Linked DNA regions of Xenopus tropicalis. The protein of the gene in region 6 purifies or fractionates together with the protein of the main gene of each other region. This does not show direct contact. Links are inferred from orthologs where the notes say so. Each region holds a gene or a part of one and is shown on either strand. Other genes may lie near its edges.

Evidence for each region.
Region 1: the proteins of polr2f (region 6) and polr3gl purify together in Homo sapiens (affinity purification with mass spectrometry; 3 studies listed by BioGRID and IntAct, with this or other methods). This does not show direct contact. The link is inferred for Xenopus tropicalis from reciprocal best matches to the Homo sapiens genes POLR2F and POLR3GL.
Region 2: the proteins of polr2f (region 6) and polr3c purify together in Homo sapiens (affinity purification with mass spectrometry; 3 studies listed by BioGRID and IntAct, with this or other methods). This does not show direct contact. The link is inferred for Xenopus tropicalis from reciprocal best matches to the Homo sapiens genes POLR2F and POLR3C.
Region 3: the proteins of polr2f (region 6) and polr3e purify together in Homo sapiens (affinity purification with mass spectrometry; 4 studies listed by BioGRID and IntAct, with this or other methods). This does not show direct contact. The link is inferred for Xenopus tropicalis from reciprocal best matches to the Homo sapiens genes POLR2F and POLR3E.
Region 4: the proteins of polr2f (region 6) and polr3b purify together in Homo sapiens (affinity purification with mass spectrometry; 5 studies listed by BioGRID and IntAct, with this or other methods). This does not show direct contact. The link is inferred for Xenopus tropicalis from reciprocal best matches to the Homo sapiens genes POLR2F and POLR3B.
Region 5: the proteins of polr2f (region 6) and uncharacterized protein LOC496835 purify together in Homo sapiens (affinity purification with mass spectrometry; 4 studies listed by BioGRID and IntAct, with this or other methods). This does not show direct contact. The link is inferred for Xenopus tropicalis from reciprocal best matches to the Homo sapiens genes POLR2F and POLR1D.
Region 7: the proteins of polr2f (region 6) and polr3g purify together in Homo sapiens (affinity purification with mass spectrometry; 3 studies listed by BioGRID and IntAct, with this or other methods). This does not show direct contact. The link is inferred for Xenopus tropicalis from reciprocal best matches to the Homo sapiens genes POLR2F and POLR3G.

The regions. Positions count from the first base shown.
Region 1 is NC_030684.2:128,432,717-128,436,216, reverse strand, and holds part of polr3gl (DNA-directed RNA polymerase III subunit RPC7-like), read right to left. Parts: intron 2,638-3,500; 5' UTR 2,601-2,637; coding exon 2,481-2,600; intron 839-2,480; coding exon 709-838; intron 1-708. UniProt on the Homo sapiens protein: DNA-dependent RNA polymerase catalyzes the transcription of DNA into RNA using the four ribonucleoside triphosphates as substrates. Specific peripheric component of RNA polymerase III which synthesizes small RNAs, such as 5S rRNA and tRNAs.
Region 2 is NC_030684.2:141,779,087-141,783,111, reverse strand, and holds the start of polr3c (DNA-directed RNA polymerase III subunit RPC3), read right to left. Parts: upstream 2,801-4,025; 5' UTR 2,708-2,800; exon of another isoform or gene 2,682-2,707; intron 2,415-2,681; 5' UTR 2,402-2,414; coding exon 2,255-2,401; intron 2,175-2,254; coding exon 1,919-2,174; intron 781-1,918; coding exon 598-780; intron 487-597; coding exon 410-486; intron 324-409; coding exon 219-323; intron 1-218. Other genes in the region: E3 ubiquitin-protein ligase RNF115, read left to right, coding at 3,163-3,240. UniProt on the Homo sapiens protein: DNA-dependent RNA polymerase catalyzes the transcription of DNA into RNA using the four ribonucleoside triphosphates as substrates.
Region 3 is NC_030685.2:25,097,252-25,100,751, forward strand, and holds part of polr3e (RNA polymerase III polypeptide E), read left to right. Parts: coding exon 1-5; intron 6-865; coding exon 866-951; intron 952-2,851; coding exon 2,852-2,896; intron 2,897-3,500. UniProt on the Homo sapiens protein: DNA-dependent RNA polymerase catalyzes the transcription of DNA into RNA using the four ribonucleoside triphosphates as substrates.
Region 4 is NC_030679.2:16,002,789-16,006,946, forward strand, and holds the start of polr3b (DNA-directed RNA polymerase III subunit RPC2), read right to left. Parts: upstream 2,801-4,158; 5' UTR 2,785-2,800; coding exon 2,713-2,784; intron 1,301-2,712; coding exon 1,268-1,300; intron 1-1,267. UniProt on the Homo sapiens protein: Catalytic core component of RNA polymerase III (Pol III), a DNA-dependent RNA polymerase which synthesizes small non-coding RNAs using the four ribonucleoside triphosphates as substrates.
Region 5 is NC_030678.2:155,277,705-155,281,884, forward strand, and holds the start of uncharacterized protein LOC496835, read right to left. Parts: upstream 2,801-4,180; 5' UTR 2,795-2,800; coding exon 2,772-2,794; intron 1,420-2,771; coding exon 1,345-1,419; intron 1-1,344.
Region 6 is NC_030680.2:122,156,929-122,159,063, reverse strand, and holds the end of polr2f (DNA-directed RNA polymerases I, II, and III subunit RPABC2), read right to left. Parts: intron 1,174-2,135; coding exon 1,102-1,173; intron 720-1,101; coding exon 629-719; 3' UTR 501-628; downstream 1-500. UniProt on the Homo sapiens protein: DNA-dependent RNA polymerase catalyzes the transcription of DNA into RNA using the four ribonucleoside triphosphates as substrates.
Region 7 is NC_030677.2:178,954,538-178,958,641, reverse strand, and holds the start of polr3g (DNA-directed RNA polymerase III subunit RPC7), read left to right. Parts: upstream 1-1,304; 5' UTR 1,305-1,487; intron 1,488-4,104. UniProt on the Homo sapiens protein: DNA-dependent RNA polymerase catalyzes the transcription of DNA into RNA using the four ribonucleoside triphosphates as substrates.

The DNA.
Region 1 (3,500 bases), on a different chromosome or scaffold from region 6:
TGCTTTAAATTACCATAAAGTGACCGTGTCATAAAAACCTGTGCATTCTGCACTGCATTCAGCCATGTAGCATCAGCTATGACAAATGTAACCTTATTTTTGCAGCATAATTTCCAACGACCCCTGAGGTTTCCTTCTTTACAGTATCCAACAGCACACTGAGCATGTGCAGTGCCACTGACACTCAAAAGATGGCCTAACAAGACCCCAAGAATGGGAGGTTGCTGTATACAAATTCGAAAGCATGGATCATTGCAGTTATAGGGCTGCTGAACCAAAGGTATTTTACTGTATTGTTAGTTAATGTAAATGTATTGCTAGCCATGTTCTTGTTTACCCTTCTATTTTCCTACATGTTTAAGGATAGCATGTTCAGCTTTCAAGTGCTGCCAGTTTACGCCAACTCCTCACCTTAACCAATGGGGAGCAACTGTGAAGTGAAGCAACCTAGGGTGCAAGTTCCCAGAGTGAGCGAGACGACATGGGCATGCACATAACATAACTGGGGGTAGTGTGCCTGGGGAGTCACAGACATGCATGAGAAGTAGACCGGGGAGATTAAGTAAAACTGCATGGGGGGCTGGTAAAAAATCAGGCATTTGCATTAAAAACCACACGCCCATATGATTCTATTGCTTTACTTGCCCTTGCAACAATAAATGATATAGTGCTTTTTAGGGCAACCAAATAGAGCCAAGCTAAACACACCTTTCTTGGGAGCAGCGGGCTTGATGAAGTACGGGAGAGTCTTCATGGCTCCTCGGAGTTCTTGTTTCAACGCCAGCATATATTCCACCTCCTCCCCTGTCTGCAGGGGTACTGGTTTGTATTCCAGGTTCTGAACAAAACAACAAAGAGAGTAGGATGATATACACAGTGTATAGCTCTTAATGGAGAAGAAAAGATGAAATCACAGAGGGGGTGCCAAATGTTAGGCACCCCCCAGTAATTATAATTACTTACCTGATACCCCACGCTGGTGCTCCTGTTAGCAGAAAACTGCAGCAGCCTGGGGTACTTCAGACCTAGCACCACTGCATTATCTACATCTTGTTTCTTCTTCACTTCAGTAAAGTGAAAAGCCAAGTTTGCTTTTTCACACACATGCACACATGCACCCTGGGTGATTGAGGAATGAAGAAGTGAAAGAAGAGGATTGTTCTGTGGTGCTTGCTCAGAGTACCCCAGGGCAGAGCAGTTTTATACTAAATGGACCACCGGCCCAGAGTATCAGGTAAGTCATTATAATCACTGAAGGGAGTGCCCCCCCCCCCCCAGTAATTTAACCATTCCTTGTCCTTTAAAAAGAAACTGCAGGGAATGTTTAACAAAACTGTTGTACATAGAGTTGCTGCATGAATTTCTTTTGAGTTCCGCAACCTAACATGTTTCCCAGCTGTAAACAACACACCCTACTGTCAGTCACTGACAGGTAAAGTCCAGTCTGATTCCAGCATGAGTATGCAATGCACTACTGACACACAGCATGGCTGGGTTTTCTTTCAAGTGAAAAAAGTTAGGAAAGTAAGGAAAAAATAATAAAACCTATTAGTACAAAAAAATGAATAAAGACCTAATACTATCCAGGTAAGTAGCATTTAAACCCATGACAAATGAAAAATAAGCCTATGTATATTCTATAAACATAACAGTATAACTAAAAGGCCATTATACCTTAGGGAAGGCCACATGTATCTCACTTGTAAAGGGCCCATAGTAGCAAACAGGTGGATGGCAGGCACAGGGGTGGGCAACTGGGCACTGTAATGAAAAATGCAGACCCTGATCCTGCCACCCAACAGGCAAAAAGTCAGAAAGCAATAGAAGGCAGTGCACAATGGGCAGACAGGGAAAACAGATACTAAAATGCTAAGATATGGATCAGGAGCCTGTAGTTCACTGCTTCTTGCTGAAATTCAGTCTGCTGACTCCAATAACACATATCAGCAGTCAAAAATATGGGGAGTTGTGGTTTAGTTACAATATGTTCCCCACTCATGCCTATTTTGGTACATTTCTATACATAGCATGTACACTTTAAAGGAAAGTAAGTAAAAAATCTATTCTACCCTGCTCCAATAATTGCCCTATCCTGCACACCATTTATTATTTTGAATGCTTTATTAGAAAATTTCTGCTAAAACCCGGCTTCCGGTCATTTGAAATAAGGCGATACGGCGATGTAGAAGCAGAATCCACTACGCGACGATCAATCCTAGCCTTCCTTCTGTATAGGAAGGAGTCAGGCAAGGATCGATCAAAGGAGTCAGGCTGTGATCGATCAATTCTGCTTCTGCATCGCCTTATTTCAAATGACCGGAAGCCAGGTTTTAGCAGGTATTTTCTAATAAAGCATTCAAAATAATAAACGGTGTGCAGGATAGGGCAATTATTGGAGCAGGGTAGAATAGATTTTTTTACTTAAAAATTTTTAGTGTTACTTTTCCTTTAATACCAAAGCTGTATAGAGCTTAACTTACCGGGAACAACGGGGGAGGTTGGAGAGTGGGTGGCGGCAGTGCTTCCCCTCTGGTAATTCCAACAGCTTCTACATTAAAGGTCAGTTGGCCCCGACCGCTACCTCTGCCTTTTCCAGCCATCTTGTGCTATGCCCAAGAAACAGTAGAATAACCTAGCCTGGGTATAAGAGATATCAACATCACCTGACATTTTGTATATGTTGTTGTATATTTTGTTTTTGTATATATCTCATGACTTCCTTCATGTAGTGTATAGCAATCCAACAATGTTCCACCATCCAGTAAAAAGGCTTCCCAGAAGAATATGGGTTGGTATAACAGATAACATATTCATATTAATACCCTTGGCTAAAGATCTCAAAGGGCTATTCCACCAAACCCACAGACTTGTATTTCTACCCACTTGGACCCACTTCTCACTATAAAACTGGAAGCTTTATCATCAGACCAAAAATGTGGTCGTCATAAACTCAGAAGTAAACTCATCCAGGAGCAAGGGGAGGTGGCAAGTAAGGAAAAGGAACCCAGCAAGGCAGCGACCCATTGCCACATCTGCTTTTCTTGGCTGCAACTGGCCAAATACCTGTGTTTCTTCAGGTAAGATGGACTATACTTTTGGTTTCATTAAAATAATGTGGAACTATGATTAAGTGTGTTTTTGGGCACAATATGTGTAAGGTTGTAGAGATAATGTTATAAACAGAGATTTTGACTACTATTTTGTGCCCTTTGTGGATAAATTGGATTACCCATCACCTATTTTTGCTTTGTTATGGTCTTTCTGCTTCCCTGAGCTAAAGGTCAGTAGCACCCAGACTGCTTTCTTGAATTGGTATGTCTTCTACATAGATTTGTGCTTTGGTGCCCTTCTGTTTTGTTTTGTTTTAATTAACAGAGACAGTGGACAGGTAGATGTCCAGATACTTGTGGTCATCCAACACTGGGTTTAACTTTTAGTGCTCATCATCTATTTTTACTTTGTTATGATAGCCTGTCGGCTTCCCTGAGCTAAGGACCTGG
Region 2 (4,025 bases), on a different chromosome or scaffold from region 6:
GCGACCATTTTATTGCTGTTGCATCAGTGTAGTACATTGCCGCTACTTCCTGAAGGGTCGAAGGTAATGCAACATAAGGCCCAAAGTGTGCCCAGTTGTAGCAACCCATAGCAACCAATGATTGTATTTGGTGCCCATTATACAAGACCTGCTTGATTTAGGTGTTTATACCTGCCCCTTAAACTACATACCCCTCAAGGGGTTCTGCCACAAGGTACCTGGTCCATTTTATTGGAAACAGCGCTGATAATAGCCTGGTCCCGGAAGTGCTGGTGGAACCGCTCCGTGTTGACTTGCCAGTAGACGCCATCATCTTGGCTATCCTGGGCAGGGAGACCAAGGAGGAAAGGGTAAGTTACAGGCAAGACAAGAATGCAGGGCCATATTGGGGTGAACGATGAACACCCACCTCTGCTTCCTTTTTTGGTCTCTTGGCCTGACTGCCTCCATCGTCATCATCAGATGATCTGCGGCGTTTGCCCCTGCCTAGAGCAACAATAGGCACAGCATAACAAGGGGTATCCAGTAGCACCCCTTCCTACATTGTATACACCTCCGGGCAGTATCGGAGAGCGGCTGCCCCACAAGGGCACTTACCTGTCATATTTAGCTTAGGGACGATGTACATTTCCTTCTCATTCATCTGCAGGGTTGGGGCAAGTGGTGGGCGGCCCTCCGTGGCATCCTTCTCCTGCACAGTCGGGCACCGCTGCACAAAGTGTGTATCTGCCAGGTGGGTAAAGGTGGCAGAAACCTCACTGTACTCCATGCTCTTGCTGTCTGCGCAGGGAGAACACAATACACAGGGCTTAGCTAATGGGCTTAAAGCATTGAGCAGGTTCCTATTATTCCTCTACAGTACACATTCTTTGCGGTACAGTTCCCAGTTATGCGACTAGATTGTAAGCTCTTTCTGACAGCTTCAGACTTTCCCCCTATAGAACTAGACTGCAAGCTTCTAGGGGCTGAATAAATATTAACCAATTTACCAATAGATCTTATGCTATGTGGGACAGGGTGTGCCATTATATAACTAGACTGTAAGCTTCTTTGGACAGCCAAAGGGCTTTCCATTATATCACTAGACTTTAGCCCCAGTGGCTAGATTGCAAGCTCTTTATGTTAGTCACAGGGGCTCCCATTCTACCAATAGACTGTAAGCTTCTAGGGGCTGAATATTTCCTTATACCAATAGATGCTCGGGTATTTGGGATAGGGTGTGCCATTATATAACTAGACTGTAAGCTTCTTCAGACAGTCAAAGGGCTTTCCATTATATCACTAGACTTTAGCCCCAGTGGCTAGATTGCAAGCTTTTGATGTCCATCACAAGAGTTCCCAATCTACCAATAGACTGTAAGCTCCTAGGGGCTGAATATTTCCTTATACCAATAGATGTTAGGCTATGTGGGACAGGGTGTTCCATTATATAGCTAGACTGTAAGCTTCTTGGGACAGTCAAAGGGCTTTCCATTATATTTCTAGACTTTAGCCCCAGTGGTTAGATTGTAAGCTTTTTATGTCCATCACAAGGGTTCCCATTCTACCACTAGACTGTAAGCTCCTGGGAGATGAATATTTCCTTATACCAATAGATATTAGTCTATGTGGGACAGAGTGTGCCATTTTATAACTAGACTGTAAGCTTCTTTGGACCGCCAGAGGGCTTTCCTTTATATCACTAGACTTTAGCCCTAGTGGCTAGATTGCAAGCTCTTTAGGTTAGTCACAGGGGCTCCCATTCTACCACTAGACTAGACTGTCAGCTCCTTGGGGCTGGGTCCCCTATGCACACCCCTAGATTTCTGACACTCACAATATAAACCAGGGCAGCTGACAGCCAGAAGGGATGATCAGGTTGCTGGGCTGCCTATCCCAGAAGGTTGCCACAGGGCTACCCCAAGGCGGCAGTCATTACCTTCCATGGTCTCGGTCAGTCTGTCGGCCACTTTCTTTACTGCGGCGCTTAGTGTCATTTTGCCATTGAGCAGCAGCTCCTCCACAATCAGCTCCCCCGTGTCCCCGTACAAGGTCTTTGCCGTGTAGATGTAGCGCGGGTAGCGCAGTATGCGCAGGAAGCGGTCGACGTGGGCCTTGTACTCGACAAAGCCGCGTTTGTTCAGCTGGTAGGTCACCAGGTTGTGCTGTATCAGGACACAAAGGGCTTTCTTCACCTGTCGGAGGAAAAAACAGTCCATCAAGGGACGGGGACTAGTTGGGGGCAGTGCCCAGGGAGCGAGAGGGTTAAACTTGCCTGATCCAATGACGTCCCTGTCTCGTTGGCGATCACTCTCAGCGGCTGGTTGCCCGTCCGTATCAGAAAGGTCCCCACTCGGTCCACAATCTCCCCGTAATGTTCCTGCAGCAGCAGGGAGCACAGCTTGCTCTCAACCGCACTCATCTCCCGGCACCGGCTGAAACAGAGGGATAGTTATAGTTGTACTACACCCTATAATGCACTATCACTGCTGCTATCCCACTGCCAGACATATACATGACTATAAGCTTATGTCCCAACAGGGGCTGAGGCCCCTCATCTGCCCAATGAGGCCCAGGCAGTAGGGAAGCAATTGTCTGAGCCGTCAGAACTAAGGCACCATCATAAGTTATGGCTGAACTACAACTCTCAGCTCCCACAATCCTCTGCCAGCGCCTCCATGCAGCCCTAGAGTGAAACTCACACCAGAATTCTACCAACAGCACTCACATGGCTTCCGCTTCCTGTCAGCTGACACCGTCCGAACGTCACCTTGGTTACCACATAGCAACTTCCGGTATTAGTAACCCCCCCCCGTTCTTCTCTTGAACCTCCTTTTGGGCTGAGGGGGCAGTGGAGGAGGCTGATTGGAAGACTCGCTGGTGCTGGCAGGGGATAGAGCGCCGTGCGGGGTCACTCTTGCCTCACAAGCCCCGATATTGGGAGGGGTTGATTGGAAGACTCGCTGGTGCTGGCAGGGGATAGAGCGCCGTGCGGGGTCACTCTTGCCTCACAAGCCCCGATATTGGGAGGGGTTGATTGGAAGACTCGCTGGTGTTGGAGGGGATAGAGCGCCGCCGTACGATAGGAGACGTTCGTGTAGGCGAGTCGGCGGTGCTGGGAGGACTGACGTGACGCGGTTCCCAGCAGCAGCAGCCGGAGCTGGGGGAGAGCGGGTAGGGATCATGGCGGAGGCGGCAGCGGTGTCTCAGCATCGGTTCTTCTGCCATCACTGTAAGGGGGAGGTCAACCCCAAGCTGCCGGTGAGTCCCTGCGGGGGAGTGCGGGGCCCAATTGGGGGGTGTGTGGGGGAGGCATATGGGGGGCCGGGGGGGGGGCTGCTGGGCTGAGGGGAACGAAATGGGCCGGGGTGGGGTATGGTGGCGGGGAGGGGAATGTTGGGGGCCGGGGGGGGGGGGGGGGGAGTGCAATGTAAACAGTGGTTGGATGTGTGGCCCGGGGGGAGTGGGGAACAGAGTGGGGGGTACGTGCGGGGGCACTGGGGTGAGAGGGGGGGGTAGAGGGGCTTGGGGTCCCGGGGGGGGGCAGGGTTAGGGAATGTGGGGGACAGGTTAGATGTTTGGGGGGGGAGTAATTGGGTTAATGGGGGATGTAGGGAGGCCGAAGGGAGGGGTGCGGGGAGAATCTAGGGGACAGGGGAGGGGTACTGGGGTGGGAGGAAAGTATAGGGGGGGCTTGGGGTGGGATGGAAATGTAGGGGGGTGGGAGGGGAATGTAGGGGGGCTTGGGGGTGGGAGGGGAATGTAGGGGGGCTTGGGGGTGGGAGGGGAATGTAGGGGGGCTTGGGGGCGGGAGGGAAATGTAGGGGGCTTGGGGGCGGGAGGGAAATGTAGGGGGCCTGGGGGCGGGAGGGAAATGTAGGGGGGCCTGGGGGCGGGAGGGAAATGTAGGGGGGCCTGGGGGCGGGAGGGAAATGTAGGGGGGCCTGGGGGCGGGAGGGAAATGTAGGGGGGCCTGGGGGCGGGAGGGAAATGTAGGGGGGCCTGGGGGCGGGAGGGAAATGTAGGGGGGTGGGAGGGAAATGTAG
Region 3 (3,500 bases), on a different chromosome or scaffold from region 6:
TAAAGGTAAACCAGATATTAATTGAACCTATAAAACAGCTGGATATAGTGTTCTGCAATAATCTTCAGTCAAAATGTTGGGCTTTCTTAAAGGAGAAGGAAAGGTTAAGTCACTTGGGGGTGCCAAAATGTTGGCCGAACTTAAACATAGAAGTCGGCTTTTCACTACTGCGCATGCGCTGGCCCACGGATTTCCCCGGCAGCGCGAAGACGGAAGGAGGAAGGCTCACTGCAGGTGCCTCGGGCTGGTGCTGTTTTCTCCTAACAGGGGCACCAGCCCGGGGTACAAGGTAAGCGGTTAAAGTCACTTGGGGGTGCCTAACATTTTGGCACCCCCAAGTGACTTAGCCTTTCCTTCTCCTTTAAATGTAAAAAACTGACTGTTTTCTGGGGAGGACCTGAGGCAAACAATTTTTGTCGAGAAAATGTAGTAGGCTGTTGTCAGTGTTTGCAGCCAAATCTCCTTTTAATTTTGCAGGGCCAGCAGCAAAACAAACTTGGAACTGCATAATTTATAAACTGGTGCTCGCCTGTCTTACTATGTTTGAGTTGTCGCTGAATTACAAATCTCACTTCCCTAATCTCTGTGGATTCTGTAATTTAATTGCATATGTTGACAATCCTCATCTTAAATTGTACTGTAGTTGCTATACTAGAGCTACAGGTACAATCCCTTATCAGAGGATTTCTTATCCACCGCTGCCTGCACAGTTGGTTAATGGACCTTCAGTTGGCTATTCTTAGTGCCAGAATTGACCTCCTTCTTTGCCCAGGCTACCTATATTGAAATAGCCTCATCAGTTAATACTAAAGATTCACTTTATTAAAGGAAAGCCAGTGATGGTACTTCATTTCTTCCCCTCCAGGACAGTCGCTCAGAACACGAGCGTCAGTATTTGCTTTGCCAGAATACCAGCGTGGCAGACAATATGGAACTCACTAAATCCCCAAGGTAAAGCTTTTCCAAGCATGTTCACGTGTACAGTTTTTATCAGTGCTATGCCTAGTATGTGTTGGTTAATGTTTTGTTTCAAATGTAACTTTCCAATGTGGTTTTTAAGTTTTTTTAATATAGATAAGAGTTGTATAAACACATACAGTGATTAAATTTGAGAACTTCTTTCACTGTGTGCCTCACTAGGGTATTGTAAAAGTAAATATAATTGATCAATTACTGTGAAAGCTACTTAGCTATATGGACTAGTAAATAGTTTACTGACGATAAAGATGCCAGTCCTGGTCTAGATCACTTCACCTGTACCTGTATATATACCTGTGTATAATACAATATATACAGGTATGGGACCTGTTACCCAGAATGCTCAGAATCTGGGGTTTTCAGGATAAAGGATCTTTCCGTAATTTGGATCTTCATAACTTAAGTCTGCTAAAAATCATTTAAATATTGACCAAACCCAATAGGCTTGTTTTGCCTCCAATAAGGATTACCGTATATACTCGAGTATAAGCCGAGTTTTTCAGCCCCCAAAAATGGGCTTATAATCGAGTATATACGGCGCATTATGTCCAGCGCTGCATGTCTCTGCTGCCCAGACAGGACTTAAGGTCACGGTGATTCAGCGACAGGTGTGCCTATGTCACTCAGTTTCCTCACATTGTGCAGTATTTGATTGGGTTGGGTGACTTGCCCGTCATCCGCCAGCAGTCGGAACAGTCACATACTGTGTGCACTCCCACAATCCTGTTGATCTATCGCCCAGGCACATAACCGCTGCAGCGCCTCTCACTGCCCCAACCCATGCTGAGAAAGGGGTATCAGTGGGCCATCAGGGTCACCCGCGGGGGGGGGGGGGAGAGAGTCAAGGAGCGTGCCTTGTATATGAGAAGCATGGGGAACTGTTGTGGCACTGTTCTGATCCAGTGATTACTCTGAGGGTGACGGTAACCAAAGTGCACTTGTAGTTGTATTTACTACAGCTGCTCATAGCCTATTACAAGTTTTGTAGGTAGGCCCTATCACATTCTGCTTGTAACCTAAACTACTATTAGACTGAACATGGATTTATAAATTATATAATGTGTCACTTCTTTGTTAATTGAGCCCTAAATACAATGTCCTCAAACTTGGATATGTTAACATTTTGGTGCTGTGAAGATACAGTATAAATGAGAGCTCAGCAAGTGCAGGGCTCCGGTTTCCGGATAAGGGATCCCCTACCTGTACATTAGGGATGCACCAAACCCACTTTTTTGGGTTCTGCCGAATCCCGAATCCTAATTAGCATATGTTAATTAGGATTGTGAAGGGTTGAAAGTTGCCATGCGCGGCTAAACCCCCCCCCAAATTTTAACCCTTTCCGAATGCTAATTAGCATATGCACATTTATGCTAATTAGGATTCGGTTCTTCCGGGGCGGTGGATTCGGTGCATCCCTAGTACATATTTTTAAAATGTCAAAGCTTCTTCAAATAGGGATTTCACATTGAGTGGTTGCTCTGACCTACATGCGCTAGTATTAGAGCTATAGCAAAGAATGCCTTGGGTCTAATAAGCCAGTTTGCTGAAAATTCAAATGCCAGGCTGTTATGGAAGTATTCCTTATTTGTGTCATGCTTATCCTCCACCTTGCCATAGATATTTTTGCATTTTCTTTTTACAAATTAAATAACTGTTTAAAAAGTACAACATTCTGTCCAAATTCTAAGCCTAAATTAATAAGAAAATACATGCTTTTTTTTCCCAGTCCTTGCAATGCAACAGATTTCACTCTCCCCCATTCACACCTAACTTGCACATTACACTGCACTGTGTGGAGTATGTGTGGTAAGGTTACAATGTGTATGTAGTGTATAATATCATTGTGCAAAAATCTTTGTATTTTCTTACACAGGGATTATCTGTCAATGCTGATGCCTCCAGATGTTGAAGAGGAAAAGTAGGTGTTTCTTTTCTCTCTGTCATATTCAATTTTTAGGCCAATGGGGCAAGGCTGTTAGTTTTTTCTGCACATCGTTTAGCAAAGGAAAGATTTTGCCTAATGGTAACCACAGGAAAGCTTCACATTAGTATGTGCGTTTGACACACCTATAGGATGGTTAAGGCTGGTTTGGGTTCAGATTTGGCCTACTATTGCAGGTGTGAGTTGGGTTTGGGTCAGACTAGGGAATTATAAGACTCCTTTGCTCCCTAAGATTCCCTGTGTTGGAACTAGGAGAAGTCAAGTGCTTGTTATGGTTTTGTGGGTATTAGTGTTGGGTGCATGTTGAGTTCTTCATGACTTGTGCAAAACTGCTACAAATGACCTTTCCACTGGTCTTGCCTAGACCAGAGATCCTCAAACTCCTAAGCCATACAGTGGCTTGCAAAAGTATTGAACTTTTCCACATTTTGGCACATAACAGCCACAAACATGAATCAATTTTATTGGAATTCCACGTGAAAGACCAATAGAAAGTGGTGTACACGTGAGAAGTGGAACGAAAATCATACATGATTCCAAACATTTTTTACAAATAAATAACTGCAAAGTGGGGTGTGCG
Region 4 (4,158 bases), on a different chromosome or scaffold from region 6:
CCTTGTGTCAGTTAGAAGGACCTACTGATAAAGCATTAGAGAGCTTATTATTATGATCCCCTTATATATTTATACATAGTTATCATATAACCCCTTAAGCGCCTCTTCTCCAGTATAAAGAACCCTAACTTGGCCAGTCTTGCTTCATTACCGAGACTTTCCATACCCTTTAGTTGCCCCCTATAACTCAATAATATTACGTTTCAGCACTGGAGACCAAAACTGCACAGCATATTCTAGATGGGGCCTTAGCAGCGATCTGTAAAGGGGAAGTATATCCTCCTCCTCCTGCGAATCTATGGCCCTTTTAATACAGGTCAAAACCTTGTTTGCCCTTGCAGCTGCTCCCTGGCATTGCTTGCTACAGCCAAGTTCAATATCTACAAGGACTCCAAGGTCCTTCTCCATTATGGATTTGCCAAGTGCAGTACCCAGTACAGAACCCTGAGAGACGCCTCAGAGAACCTTACTCCAAGTAGAGAATGTACCATGTAACCTTGAATGGCTGCCCCCTTGCCTACACTGCAGCTTATTATATAAACTATAGTAGTCTTTCTAAAGCAAACATAAAACTTTTACCAGTGCAGGGCAACAGTACCTAACATTTTAATTACGTTTGTATTTTTTGGTGTTACTGTTCCTTTAACATTTGGATCATTTAATGCAGTGAGAAGACCTGATCCTTTTCACAGGACAAAACTCCAATTGACACCTCCAATTTAATGATGCCCAATGCCAAACTAAGCATTAGATGAGAGCGAGATGGATTACATCTTCAAGAGAAAACACTGACTGCAGCAATCTTTGGACTGCTCTGACTGCAGCAGTCTTTGGACTGCTCACTTTGGCATGCAAAGAGTAGTGTTTTGTGGCAGAATCATTCAGCGAATTCAATGTTAAACCTTCAGCTACTTTAAAGAAGAAGGAAAAGGTTATTTACTGGGTGAAGGTTTGACCCTGGCCCAGGGTAATATTCTAGTGAGTTTCACCAAACTGCTATCTTGCCTGCTATGCCAGAAATCCTAAATGGCTGCCCTAGGCCAAAATTGACATAGATGGTAAAAGAAAAACATTTACTCAACTACGCATGCACAGATCAGCTGCTAGGGCACTGGGATAGGGCGCAAAGATGGTGGCTCAGTGTTCGTCAGAATACTACTCTGGCCCAGTGATTTTTCAGCTTAGAAGAGCATTTTTAATGAGTCTGAGGTTAGTAATTATCTCTATGAACTGTTAACCTAAATATAAATATATATTTAAAGCATACCTTTAGGAAGGCTGGAAGCAGTTTCCATTTTTCCTGCAAAACAAATAAATTTTCAGGTCAGTTTGCAAATAGGATATTTAAAATTTGCCAACACCCGTCACCCTAAAATTGTTTCCCCCACTAGAGTTGTGGGCTAACGGAGCCTTTAAAATAGTTTTAAATTGCACCAGAAGAGAGCCACAACTGACACACACATCTCCTGGTACAGGCAGCCTAACTCTCACAGGGGACATAAAAAAAAAAAAAAAAGAGAATTGTTTCCCCAACAAGAGTGCAGGCACCTCTAGCGGAGGACAATTTTATGGTGATTGTTGCCCTTTTTGTTGGCTGGTTTTTAAAGGGAAAATAAAACCAATTTTCATCATGCTTATATTCATTTTTATGGCATTTTACTTATTTATGTTCAGCAGCTTTCAAGTTTGTTATTTCAACCTTTATCTGTATCTGGTTGCTAGATCTTATTTTTCCTAGCTACCAGAGGTTTGAGTGACAGACTGAAATAAGTATAGGAGAGACACTTAATAAAATAAAAGTAACCATAACAATATAATTGTAGGCTCCCAAAACAATACTGCTGGGGTCAGTGACCCTCATTTGAATGCTGAAAGGAGGTAGTAAAAGGCGATAACTTAAAGATGAACCACCCCTTTAACCTGGCAAAATGGCTGCAGTTATATGGTTGTGCATGTTATAGCTAGCCATATGCATATTGTCTGGCAGATAAACTACTCCTCAGCCAATGCCTGGATTGAAGGAGACATGCAACGGACATAGTGCCCCAGTCGTACCCCAGGCTACAACTTCAACTTTTTTCACGGCTTGCAACTTCAGTGTGCTACTGGATTTTTTTGCTTTTGGATATTGACCCCCCATGCAAGGTGAGGTTCTTCCAGTATTTGCACCGGGTACCCATTTGGGTAAGTTAACAGAGAGTTGAGCTCCCCAATACTGCTATTGGTACCCCAGGCTTATGTCATATGTGGCATTTTTGGTCTGAAAAGAAGCAGGTGTTTGCACTGACAGGCAAATGCCATGACTGCCAATTCTTAATAAAATGGGTAGATGGCAAGAGACTGGTTCATCACCTGTGACATATCATTAGCCTCACATAAGTGACACACAATGCCACAGGATATGGGAAATGCTCATTATAAATGTATCTCTGGATGGTATGAATAATGCACCACCCCAGCCCCAAATCTTGTCCCTGAACTCCAAAGGAACACCAAGGCTGCAGCATGGAATTCTAAGAATGTCTACCCAAAAAATTGTTGTAAATGCAATAGAGGTTGGAAGCTGTATTTGTCTGCCCCTTTTGCACCCCTGGTTCTGACTCCTGAAACAACGTTGTTGAACTCACTTCTACTGCTAGCTTCAGCTACATTTATTCGGGAGTCACAGCAGAGGGAGGTAACGGGAATTAAGCAGTCCGAAGCTTGTCTCACCTGCACTGTATCAACGGGAGCAATGAGCTCCTCCTGACTCAGATGACCAAACTCCACATCCAACACCTCCATGCCTATACGACCATCCACCAGCACACATGAGAAACAGTGCAGCACCTAAACCCGTCCGGCAGGGAAAAATTTCTTTACGCGCAGCGTTCCCCTTTTCTTCATTACCTCACGCACATAATCCCTAGAAACATAAGGGTGTGGCGGCCATTGCGAAAGTGGGCAAGGTATAATTTTTTTTTTCTTACAACATATATAACTATTATTTGAAATAACAGAATGCTGAAGCGTATGTATGAATAGCAAAGTACGCCACACATTGTGCCCTGGACCGCAAAGCGGAATATTACTTCATTCCAGGTCACCAAGAAAGCAAGTTTCTAGAAACTATATACACTGACAAGCACTAAAAAGAGAGTAATGTGGTCCAAACAATTTATTAAATATCATTGGCTGGAAAAACATAAAGTACGTTGTGAGATAGACCGTGTGGGGATAGGCACAACGAGAAGCCCCTGAGGTTTGCCCTTGCAGGCTCCCGTAGGCAGGGTCTCTCCCTGTCCCCCAGCTGCTGAGGATGATTGGATGTGCAAGTCGGCACTGTTGCCACATACACAGGGAGGGGCTGGCTTTAGCTGCAGACAAATACTTGAAAGTTTAGAAATATTTCTACTAAACCCTCCTTGAGTTGTGATTGCAGCCGCCGCCGCCTAATTTTGTATCCTATTTAGTGCATGGGTCTAATAAGAAAAATGTATAGTTGTGCATTATAGCTTAGCTTTCTGCATCTTTCTTACATATAAATGTAAGACTTTATTTCTATGGTGATTAACAGGTTAATGTGACAATGTCTATTGAAGTGAAGCAGAGAAAGAAGGGCCCTAGGGAGTTAAAAAATACTCCTGGCAGTAGCCAGACATCAGGACACCAGTTGCAGAATGAGCTTCAAGGAAAAGTCAAGGCTGGGTCTCCCATGGGTGGACATAAATTGCTTTGCCCAGATCCCAGGACATTGCTGTGCTTACTCTGCTTAGCAATCTGCTTGGCCCTTTCATGGTAAGATAAACCTGTATTTTTAACTCACTGGTAACCTTTATGTGGATATTGTATTTTGAACATGTTATTGCACTCCTTCCCGTATGAAATGATTGTGAAGTTTATATGTATACTTAAAAGCTGCACAGAAACCAGTGGGGCAGCACACACCAAAATTAAGGAACACCATCAATATATACATTTATATGTATGTTATGCAACAATTTCTTATTATACTTCTCATTGAATATTGCTCGATCCATTGGCATAACAGAGCAGCTTGCCTCCCATTCATCCTCAATATGTGTAGCTATGGTCAGGCTATTTGGCTGATAATTGACAATCTGTGCAAGTGTATTTCTCTGTATGGCCATCTTATGAAGAAATTGCTTGGCTAATTGC
Region 5 (4,180 bases), on a different chromosome or scaffold from region 6:
GGGAGTCAGTACCCACTGCCTTTCTTGCTATAAAACTAACATAAACACATCTAAAGGGGTGGTTCACTTTTAAGTTAACCTTTAGTATGTTATAAAATGGCCTATTCCTAGCAACTTTGCAATTGGTCTTTCTAATTAATTTTTTTGAATAATTTGCCTTTCTCTTCTGCCTCTATACAGATTTCAAATGGGGGCCAAAAAATATTGCTCTGTGAGGCTACAATTTTATTATTATTATAATTTTGTATTACTTATTTTTCTAAGTAGGCCCCTTAACTATTCATATTCCCATCTCTTGTTTAAACCACTACCTGGTTGCTAGGGTAAATAAGACCCTAGCAACCAGATAGCTGCTGAAATACCAAATGGAGAGCTGCTGAACAAAAAGCTAAATAACTGAAAAACCATTAAAAATAAAAGTGAATTGAATGCGAACTACCCCTTTAAGCTAACTGATCACAAACACAAATGTTTGCAGATCCCGCGTGCGCGTATGAATACTTTTACATCCTAAACATTTTAGGGTAAAAAAAAAAAAGCACCCCCACCCGCACTTTTGTACAGTATCCCTGGTAGTCAGTGGGAACGGCAAGAGGTAGTTGGGAGGTTAACTTTTTACGCCAGCAGCGAATCCACTAAGTGTCACATTAGCTGTAGGTCGGACTGTGTATGGGCCATCTTTAGCCTCCCCTAGTATCATCCTGCAAAAAAAAAATATATATTTTTAAATATATATATATATATATATTTGTCTGTTGCAGGATGATGCTAGCTTACTTGCCCCCCCTTGGAAAATTTTCTGCGGACGCCCATGTTTGTAAGGATTATATGGTAGGGGGAAAAATTTTTTGCTGCGCACGCTGCAATTTTTCCCCCTTTCTCTTCCTAATTAGCATATTTCGGGTTTGGGATTCCTAGATTATAATCACTTACCTATGACTGGCTTGGGGTATTATCCTTATTAGCGCCATGCAGTCATCTTATTGCTGTTCTCTGAATCTTTGCAGTGGCCCTACTCTGTGTTTAAGTGCAAGAGAAGCCTACCTGTCATTTCACATTGAATTACACATTTTACTATGCTGCACATAGGCACAGGACAGGCCTCACAAGAATAGTACACAGGGCCAGTGTATTTTAAGTGAAAATAATAATGATGATTATAATAACTGTATGAGGGGTTTGCACCTCCCTCCATTGACTACCCATTTCCTTTTTTAAAGGAAGAGAACAGTTTTTTCAAGTTTTATAAACACACCAGTATTTTTAATATGAACACAGTTACTAACCATACAATAGTGTTACACGCACATATATCATTAAAAATTGTATAAAGAAACCACTTACCAGCCCATTGGTCCCATAGTTTCAGCTCGGATCTTGCCACGTTTTGCTTCTTTGAGAAGCTCTTCTACAGCTTTCCTGCATCGGCATAAAAGAGCAAGAAATTAGCATTAACAATATCGGCTGTACAGCCCAACATATATAAGTATTGCTACATAAATAAAAATCTACACACATGTTTTGGGGGGAAAGTTCTTTTACACCAATTTAAAGAGGACAAAAAATGTATCAAACGCATGAAATAAGGCCTATTAACATTATTAAACATTAGTATACTTTACGTTTTTTTTTTAAAAATTCCATTATTTCAACAAATCTGCCTCCAACTAGCAGTCTCTTCTTTTGGTCTCCAGGCAAGTACACTGAATATGTATTAATATGGCAACGGCACCAAAAACTGCATGACCAAACTGCTTTTATTGGTTTACTATTTTATTATAAGTGGGCTGAGAGTGTTCTAAGCAAAATCTATGGGACCTACAAATCCTGAACCATGCACAGTGCTTCCCAGAGACATGTAAATGTGCACAATCCTAATTCCATCTATGGCTGCTTGGTATTATACCAACCCAGCCGGTCAAAATAATGCTTGATGTCAATGTTATTAATAGGGAAGAAAGATAATTACATAGAAAGGCCAGTATTTTTTTTTTTTTTTACAAAAAAGTGAAAACCAAAATCACATCTCTAATTGCTGCTTTATTGATGTAGTTTAACTTTAACTCCCACTGCAACAACCAACCCTGGAAGCTGTAATTCCACAATACAAAAAGGGCTATTGGTTGCCTTTCAGTGATATACATGAACCACAGTCTGGCCAGCTGGCTTTCAGTACCAGTAAGAGCTCTCTATAGCCTACGGATCAACACTATGGGGCAGATTTACTAATCCACGAACGGTCCGAAGGCATCCGCATGCGTTTTTTTCGCAATGATCGGTATTTTTGCGACTTTTTCGTATATTTTCTGCAACTTTTTCGTCGCCGTCGCGAAAAAATCGGATTGGTTTTTCCGCCGTTTACAATCGCTCAATACGAAAAAATTGCAACGGCGACGAAATAGTTGCGCAAAATACGATAATGTCGTGTCGGCGACGAAAAAGTCGCGACAAATACGAAAAAGTTGCGGCGGCGACGAAAAGACGGCAAAATTTTCTTTCCAATCTGAATTTTTGCCATTCCGGTTTCGGATTCGTGGATTAGTAAATCTCCCCCTATGTATTCCTAACAAGGACCCAAAAGTAACTGCACCCAATCAGTCCCCACTTCCCCAGCAACAGCTGTCCCATAACAATTCATGTATATATTATTATTTATCCTTCACCCACTACCCAAGCAGTCTCTGCACTATAAAGCGTTCACTGGGGTAAAACATAGACAGCTCACAAGCAGCAGCATGCAATTTTATTTCTATTTCGCATATACTTCGTACCGTTCCAATTCGTCTTCCTGCATTTCTGCTCTGCAGCAAAGGAACCCGGAAATACACTGGCGAGATGGCAACAACGCCAAGCAGCGCAGCGACTTCCGGAATGGGCGGGGCCAGAGGCGTCACTGAGCTGCGGAGTGCCTCCCTAGTGCTGAAGGGAATATATATATATATAGTTTTGGGCAGCGCTGTGAGATCACATGGATAGTAAAATATTGATTAACACTACGACGACTGTCATCAATGGTTAAAAAAAGTTGTGGAATGATTGTGCTAAGTTTACCCAAACTCTGGCGCAAAACCATAGGGGGTTTTGGGGGGGGCAAGTTGGAGAACACAGCAAAGTGGTTCTAGTGTAGGGATACCCTAACTTTTTTACCTGTTAGTAACTTTAAAATGAGTTGGGGAACAAAACAAACTTGAAAAACCTCAGAGATTGTGCCAAATACTGGCGTATTGAGAAAACAATTTCCACTCTGCATTCCTCCCTGTCACTAATGCCTGTAGGTTGGCAGCGCGGTTAAAGGAACAGTAACGCCAAAAATGAAAGTGTATTAAAGTATTTAAAATATAATGTACTGTTGCCCTGCACAGGTAAAGTTGTGTGTTTGCTACAGTAACTCTACTATAATTTATATATAATAAGCTGCTGTGTAGCCATGGGGGCAGCCATTCAACCTTGAAAAAGGAGAAAAGGCACAGGTTACATAGCAGATAACAGATAAGCTCTGTAGAATATAATGGGGTTTTATCTGTTATCTGCTATGTGCCTGTGCCTTTTCTCCTTTGAATGGCTGCCCCCATGGCTACACAGCACCTTTGTTTATATAAACTATAGACTTTCTGAGGCAAACACACCAGCTGTACCAGTGCAGGGCAACAGTTCATTATATTGTAATTATTTTTATACACTTTCATTTTTTGCCTCCAAGCCAGGAATTCAAAAATAAGTGCCTGCATTAAGGCCTCAGGGAGTAACATTAAATGGGATCACTGTGCTAGTCCCTTACTTGCTACACAGGAATGGTGTTTCTCTTTTTCAAAAAGTGCAGCAGCCCAGGCAGTCGGACTGGCCCCCCAGGATACCAGGAAAACTCCCGGTGGGCCCAGGTGTCGGTGGGCCCTCCTGCTCCTGACCATTTGGCCTGCTTCATGGCCATTCCCTATTTCTGAATGGGAACAGAGAGGAGAAATAGTGTAAATAAAAAAGACTAGGAGAATAAAGAGGGTGGGTGAGAAAAAATAGTTCGGAGAGTGGGCCTATAGTCTAAGGCAGGGATCCCCAACCTTTTTTACTTGTGAGCCACACTCCGATGAAGTGGATTAAAATGATGCCTCTGTATTTTCAAAACTAGTCTCTATGCTACAAATGTAATAACAGGCACCTACTTTGAGGCCACTGGGAGCAACAT
Region 6 (2,135 bases):
TGCGCTGTTGAGCTGAAATATCAGTGTGAGGAATATTTAGCGGCAGTGGCCATCAGTAATGTAGCACCTGGATCAGTGCTAGCTTGTTCCCCAGGTGTGGCAGGAACGTAGAAGCAGCCGAGCGCATATTTGGCCAAACAAAGAGTGGGATTCATCCTGGTTTTTGATACTCCTGAGAAAGGTGTCCCCTCCATGGGCATTTCCATAGCAACAAGTGCAGAGACATGGGCATACAATGGCTCCTCTGTTCTACCAAAAAAAAACAGGTAGATGGTGGGGGAGGTTTTGAACATTTTTGGAAGCAAACAGGTGCATGCTATTCTCCTTGCATGGAGCTTAGAATTCATCCTGTCGCCCAAGTTTTCTAGTCACTAAATGGCCTATAGGCTGTCAGTTTTGTTACTATCTAAAGGCAGTCTCTGCTACAAAAAGTAACCCTTCCTTTTAGCCTGCTCTCTCTTTCTTCAGCAGATATTTATCAGCAAACAGATAGCTGTGTGTGAGGGTCTTTTGTGTTTTTATTAAATAAAGCATTTACATAAAAAACAATTATGTACAACAAGACAAAAGAGAATAAAACTGGTGTCAAAGATTTCAGGCTTGGAAAGTCAAGGACTGACGACAGGTCTTAGTCGGTAATGATGAGTTCATCCACCCCCCAGTCCTCATAACTGCCGTCTGGAAGGTAACGTCGTATGATTATAGGGATCTTTCTGGCTCTGTGGGAACAGAAAGAAACTTTAGAAGATCACTAGAATATACAAGCATCCTCAATTATATGTTAGCTTGCAAAGAATCCCAGTAGTTGTAACTCAGAATTTGCAGTCACAAACTGGCCTTGAAAGAGGCCAGTTAGAATTTGCAAATATATATCCATTTCCATAATAATATGGGTTTTTGGTGTTGGTTTTAAGTCATACCTCAATTTTCTCAATATTGGAAGTTCCTGAACATAAACCAAAGCTAGATACTATGAAAATTGAAAAGTATTTCAAAATTGCAAACAAAGATTCATGCAAACCGTGTTTAGCATACCCAACTGGCCTCTGTCAGGTGGAGGTTAGACAGTTACATATTCTCTGGCAGATGAGAAAAACTTACTTAAGTTCCTTCATGGCAATAAGTAGGGGGTCCGTTTCTCCTTCAAGCTCCACCATGACAGGGGCACACATCCTGTATTAAAGAAGGAGGACAAAAACTGAGTGAGGGTGGTAGGAACTAAGTGAGGCTCTCTCTAAATGTTTTATAAAAGGACTTATTCACATAACCTGAGAACAGGAGCAACAATAGCAAATAGGTGGTCAAAAAGAAATCAACTTTCAAAGACAAGCTAAAGCCATAGTTTGCGCTGAATTCTGAAACCGGCACTTCTTAATTTCATTGAGAAAATAAAAGAAGGTTACTCACTGCTACACAGTCCTATTCTGCTCCATGCCAAAATGAAGTGTGACCTGTCAGGATTACTTAAACGACCATTGTCAGTCACTTAATAGAGCTCTTTGGCAGTCAAAAGGAGAGCAAACTGCCATGACACTACAAACCATTAACACTCCAGTGTTCTGTACTTAAACGCTCAGCAGCAGAGCACTTGAATCAATAAAACGTGGGTTTTTGTTCTCCTTTTAAGTGGTGCAATGCACACATGATTTCACTATACTATAGTGTAGCCAGAGAATGATATTGCTATATTATATATACAGAAATCTTATTTTGTTATGTTATAACCAAAACAAGCTTTTTCTATACTATATTCCAGTACACTGTTGCTTTGCTGCTCTGGGATCCTATGTTAAATTGCAGTCAAACAAGGAGTCCACATGTTCCCCACATGCTTGCGTGGGTTTTCTCTGGGTATTCTGGTTTCTTCCTATACTCAAAAAATATACAGGGAGACTAATTGGTTTCTGATAAAATTAGACTGTAAGCTCCACTGAGCAGGAACTGATGTGACTGAAGCACAATTTCTGTAAAGCACTGCGGTGCTACATAACCTATAATCATAGTATTATAGTATCACCAAAATCACCATCATCACTGGGGGGTGTCAAAATGTTAGCTTAACAGAAACCCCCAGCCAGTACTCCTGTTAGCAGAAAACTGCACCGCCCAGGGTGTAAGCGAATGAGTGTTCCTCT
Region 7 (4,104 bases), on a different chromosome or scaffold from region 6:
ATCCCTTATCCCACTGCTACTATGGGCACCATCTCTCCCTACTATACCTGCTATCCTACAGTCACAGTCCCTTCCCAGAGGCTATTATCCCCCCACTGCTACTATAGGCACCATCTCTCCCTACTATACCTGCTATCCTACAGGCACAGTCCCTTCCCAGAGGCTATTATCCCCCCACTGCTACTATAGGCACCATCTCTCCCTACTATACCTGCTATCCCACAGCCACAGTCCCTTCCCAGAGGCTATTATCCCCCTGCTACTATAGGCACCATCTCTCCCTACTATACCTGCTATCCCACAGCCACAGTCCCTTCCCAGAGGCTATTATCCCCCCACTGCTACTATAGGCACCATCTCTCCCTACTATACCTGCTATCCCACAGCCACAGTCCCTTCCCAAAGGGTATTATCCCCCACTGCTACTATAGGCACCATCTCTCCCTACTATACCTGCTATCCCACAGCCACAGTCCCTTCCCAGAGGCTATTATCCCCCCACTGCTACTATAGGCACCATCTCTCCCTACTATACCTGCTATCCCACAGCCACAGTCCCTTCCCAGAGGCTATTATCCCCCACTGCTACTATAGGCACCATCTCTCCCTACTATACCTGCTATCCCACCGCCACAATCCCTTCCCAGAGGCTATTATCCCCCCACTGCTACTATAGGTACCATCTCCCCCTACTATACCTGCTATCCCACAGCCACAGTCCCTTCCCAGAGGCTATTATCCCCCCACTGCTACTATAGGTACCATCTCCCCCTACTATACCTGCTATCCCACAGCCACAGTCCCTTCCCTACCTACTATATTCAATATATCACAGACTCTTCCCAGAGGCTACTATTTACACTACTTTGCAAAAGCTGAACATGCCCTTTGACAGCATTTTGACGAAGACAACTATGTCAAATTTAGAAAGATTAGTAGTTAAACTGGCAAAAAGTAATTTACTCCAACTTTTTAAAAGAAAATAAAAACAGTGTGGCATAAAAAGAAAAACATTTGATATTTAGACAAATGCCAAATTTATCTTCTCTGAACAGACATATTGTATAATATTTATTTTCTGGGCTCCAGCAGTTGCACCTCACTGATGGTGGCTGTGTAATGCATGATTAGAGCTAACTGCTGATAGTTGCCAGTACATTAGTTTTGTGTTCCCCTTTAAGAACACATAATGATCAATGTACAGCGCCTTTCCACTGAAAGGGCTGTGCTTCATGTTGTGTTTAGTAAGCCTGAACACTAACAAAGGGAAGCTCTACCCTATATAGTTTTACTGCTGAGCAGAACCTAATTAGTTTAGAATCAGTTACACTGCCTGATGCTCGTTAGGACTTGCTGACAAGCACTGCCCCCACTGGCTTATCCCTACTGCACCAGGATTTACTTGTGAATGTCATTGTAACGCAGATTTGGTGAATCAGCCGAGTTCTATGTTTGATTCATCAGCGAGAAATTATATCAGACTGAAGGTAAAATGATTCGCTTAAGTATATGAATTTAATATCATGTCTATAATTCTATTAATCTATGAAAACACCCAAATGTAAGATGTGTTAAAGCACAGATATAAGCACATTTTAGGCCATTATAAAATCAGTTACAGTTGGATCAATGATATTTAGCAGCATTGGCACAGATTGGCATATTGGGGCTTGCATTTATTGACTTCTACTGAAGCTGAATGTTGAAATGTTTTTGAATGTATTATTTAATAATGAGTTAAGCTTGTTTGCCTAAAGTGGGCCTATGAAAATAAATGCCTTTTAATATTTTATTGTTCAACTTGGGGTCCTTCAGCTGCTGGAAGCTGCAACTCTTAGTGCTCTTAGCTGGGTGTGGTTGGGGCATGACAGGGAATGCTTTAGGGCAGGACATAGAGAGCTTCTAGTCCTCATCATGTCCTTTGTAGAAGTACAAATAACAATCATTAAAAATGTATATTCTTATATACATTCTTAGTTTTTACATTTACAGTGTTGCCTGTGGCCCTTCTAGTTTTGTTCAACTAGAACATTCAATGTCAGCTGATGACTTTCAGGTGATTATAGCAGCTGTACCTGGGGGCCTATTTAGTGTGCTGAGTAAAATGGCAAATGTCACCATCTGAAAGCCAGACTTTATGCCATTATTCTATGCAAGCTACGTAATTACATTGTTTTTTACACAGCGAAGCCTCGCAATGAATGACGAATTTTGCTGCCATTTTTGCACAGCATAATAAGTAGGCATCTTAGTGTGCTGTAATTGGTGCAAACCCCAGCAGGTGTAATTCATTGCTATCAATTATTTTAATGAGAATGTTGTAAGAATACACCTGAGCTTCACTAAAAAAAGTATATAATTTTAAAGGGAAAGCTATGTTGATGAACAAAAGCTGGAGGGCTGCAATTTGGGCATACCTAATTTTTATAGGGTCATAGCGCCTTAACACAGTGAGGTGAAACATCTCAAAAAAAATGGTACGGCCGACCCATCAAATCAAATGGTACGGTCTGACCCCCCCTCAAATCAAATGGTACGGTCCGCCCCCTCCAAAAAATGGTACGGTCCAACCCCCCCCTCGAAACAAATGGTACGGTCCAACCCCCCTCCAAAAAATGGTACGGTCTGATCCCCCCTTCAAAAAAATAGCATGGTACGGCCTGATCCCCCGTCGGAAAAAAGTGGTACGGTCCGACACCCTCTCCAAAAAAATGGTACGGTCCGATCTCCCCCCCAAAAAAATGGTACGGTCCGACCCCCCCCTTCAAATAAAATGGTGCGGGCTGACCCCCCTCCAAAAAAATGGTACGGTCCAACCAAAATTTTTTGGAATGGGGGTCGGACTGTACCATTTTTTGGAGGGGGGCGGGGTTGGACGTACCATTTTTTTGAGAGGGAGGGATGGACCGTGACATTTTTGGAGGGGGGGTCGGACCATACCAATTTTAAGAGCGGGGGAGGTCGGACCGTACCATTTTATTTTGGAGGGGTAGGACCGTACCATTTTTTAGAGGGGATGGGGACGGACCGTACCATTTTCAAGAGCGGGGGGGTCGGACCGTACCATTTTTTAGAGCGGGGAGTCGGGCCATACCATTTTTAGAGGGGGAGGGGACCGTACCAATTTTTTTCGAGTGGGGGGGGATGGACGTACCAGTCGGACCGTACCATTTTTAAGAGCGGGGGTCGGACCGCACCAATTTTTATGGGGGGATAGGACCGTACCATTTTATTTTGGGTGGGGGGGGGAGTCGGACCGTACCATTTTTTGAGTGGGGGGGATGGACCGTACCATTTTTAAGAGCGGGGGGGGTTTCGGTCCGTACCATTTTTTTCGAGTGGGGGGATGAACGTACCATTTTTAAGAGTGGGGGGTCGGACCGTACCATTTTTAAGAGTGGGGGGGGGGGTTCGGACTGTACCATTTTTTGAGTGGGAGGGGGGTCGGACCGTACCATTTTTAAGAGCGGGGGGGTGATGGACCGTACCATTTTTAAGAGCGGGGGGGGTCGGACCGTACCATGTTTAAGAGCGGGGGGGTTCGGACTGTACCATTTTTTGAGTGGGGGGGGGGATGGACCGTACCATTTTTAAGAGCGGGGGGGTCGGACCGTACCATTTTTAAGAGCGGGGGGGGGGGTTCGGACTGTACCATTTTTAAGAGCGGGGGGGTCGGACCGTACCATTTTTTGAGGGGGGGGGTGGACCGTACCATTTTTAAAAGCGGGGGGGGGGGGGTCGGACCGTACCATTTTTTGAGTGGGGGGGGGGATGGACCGTACCATTTTTGAGTGGGGGGGGGATGGACCGTACCATTTTTAAGAGCGGGGGGGGGTTCGGACCGTACCATTTTTTGAGTGGGGGGGGATGACCGTACCATTTTTAAGAGCGGGGGGGGGTTCGGACCGTACCATTTTTTGAGTGAGGGGGATGGACCGTACCATTTTTAAGAGCGGGGGTGGTTCGGACTGTACCATTTTTGAGTGGGGGGGGGTGGACCGTACCATTTTTAAGAGCGGGGGGGTCGGACCGTACCATTTTTAAGAGCGGGGGGGTTCGGACTGTACCATTTTTAAGAGCGGGGGGGGTCGGACCGTACCATTT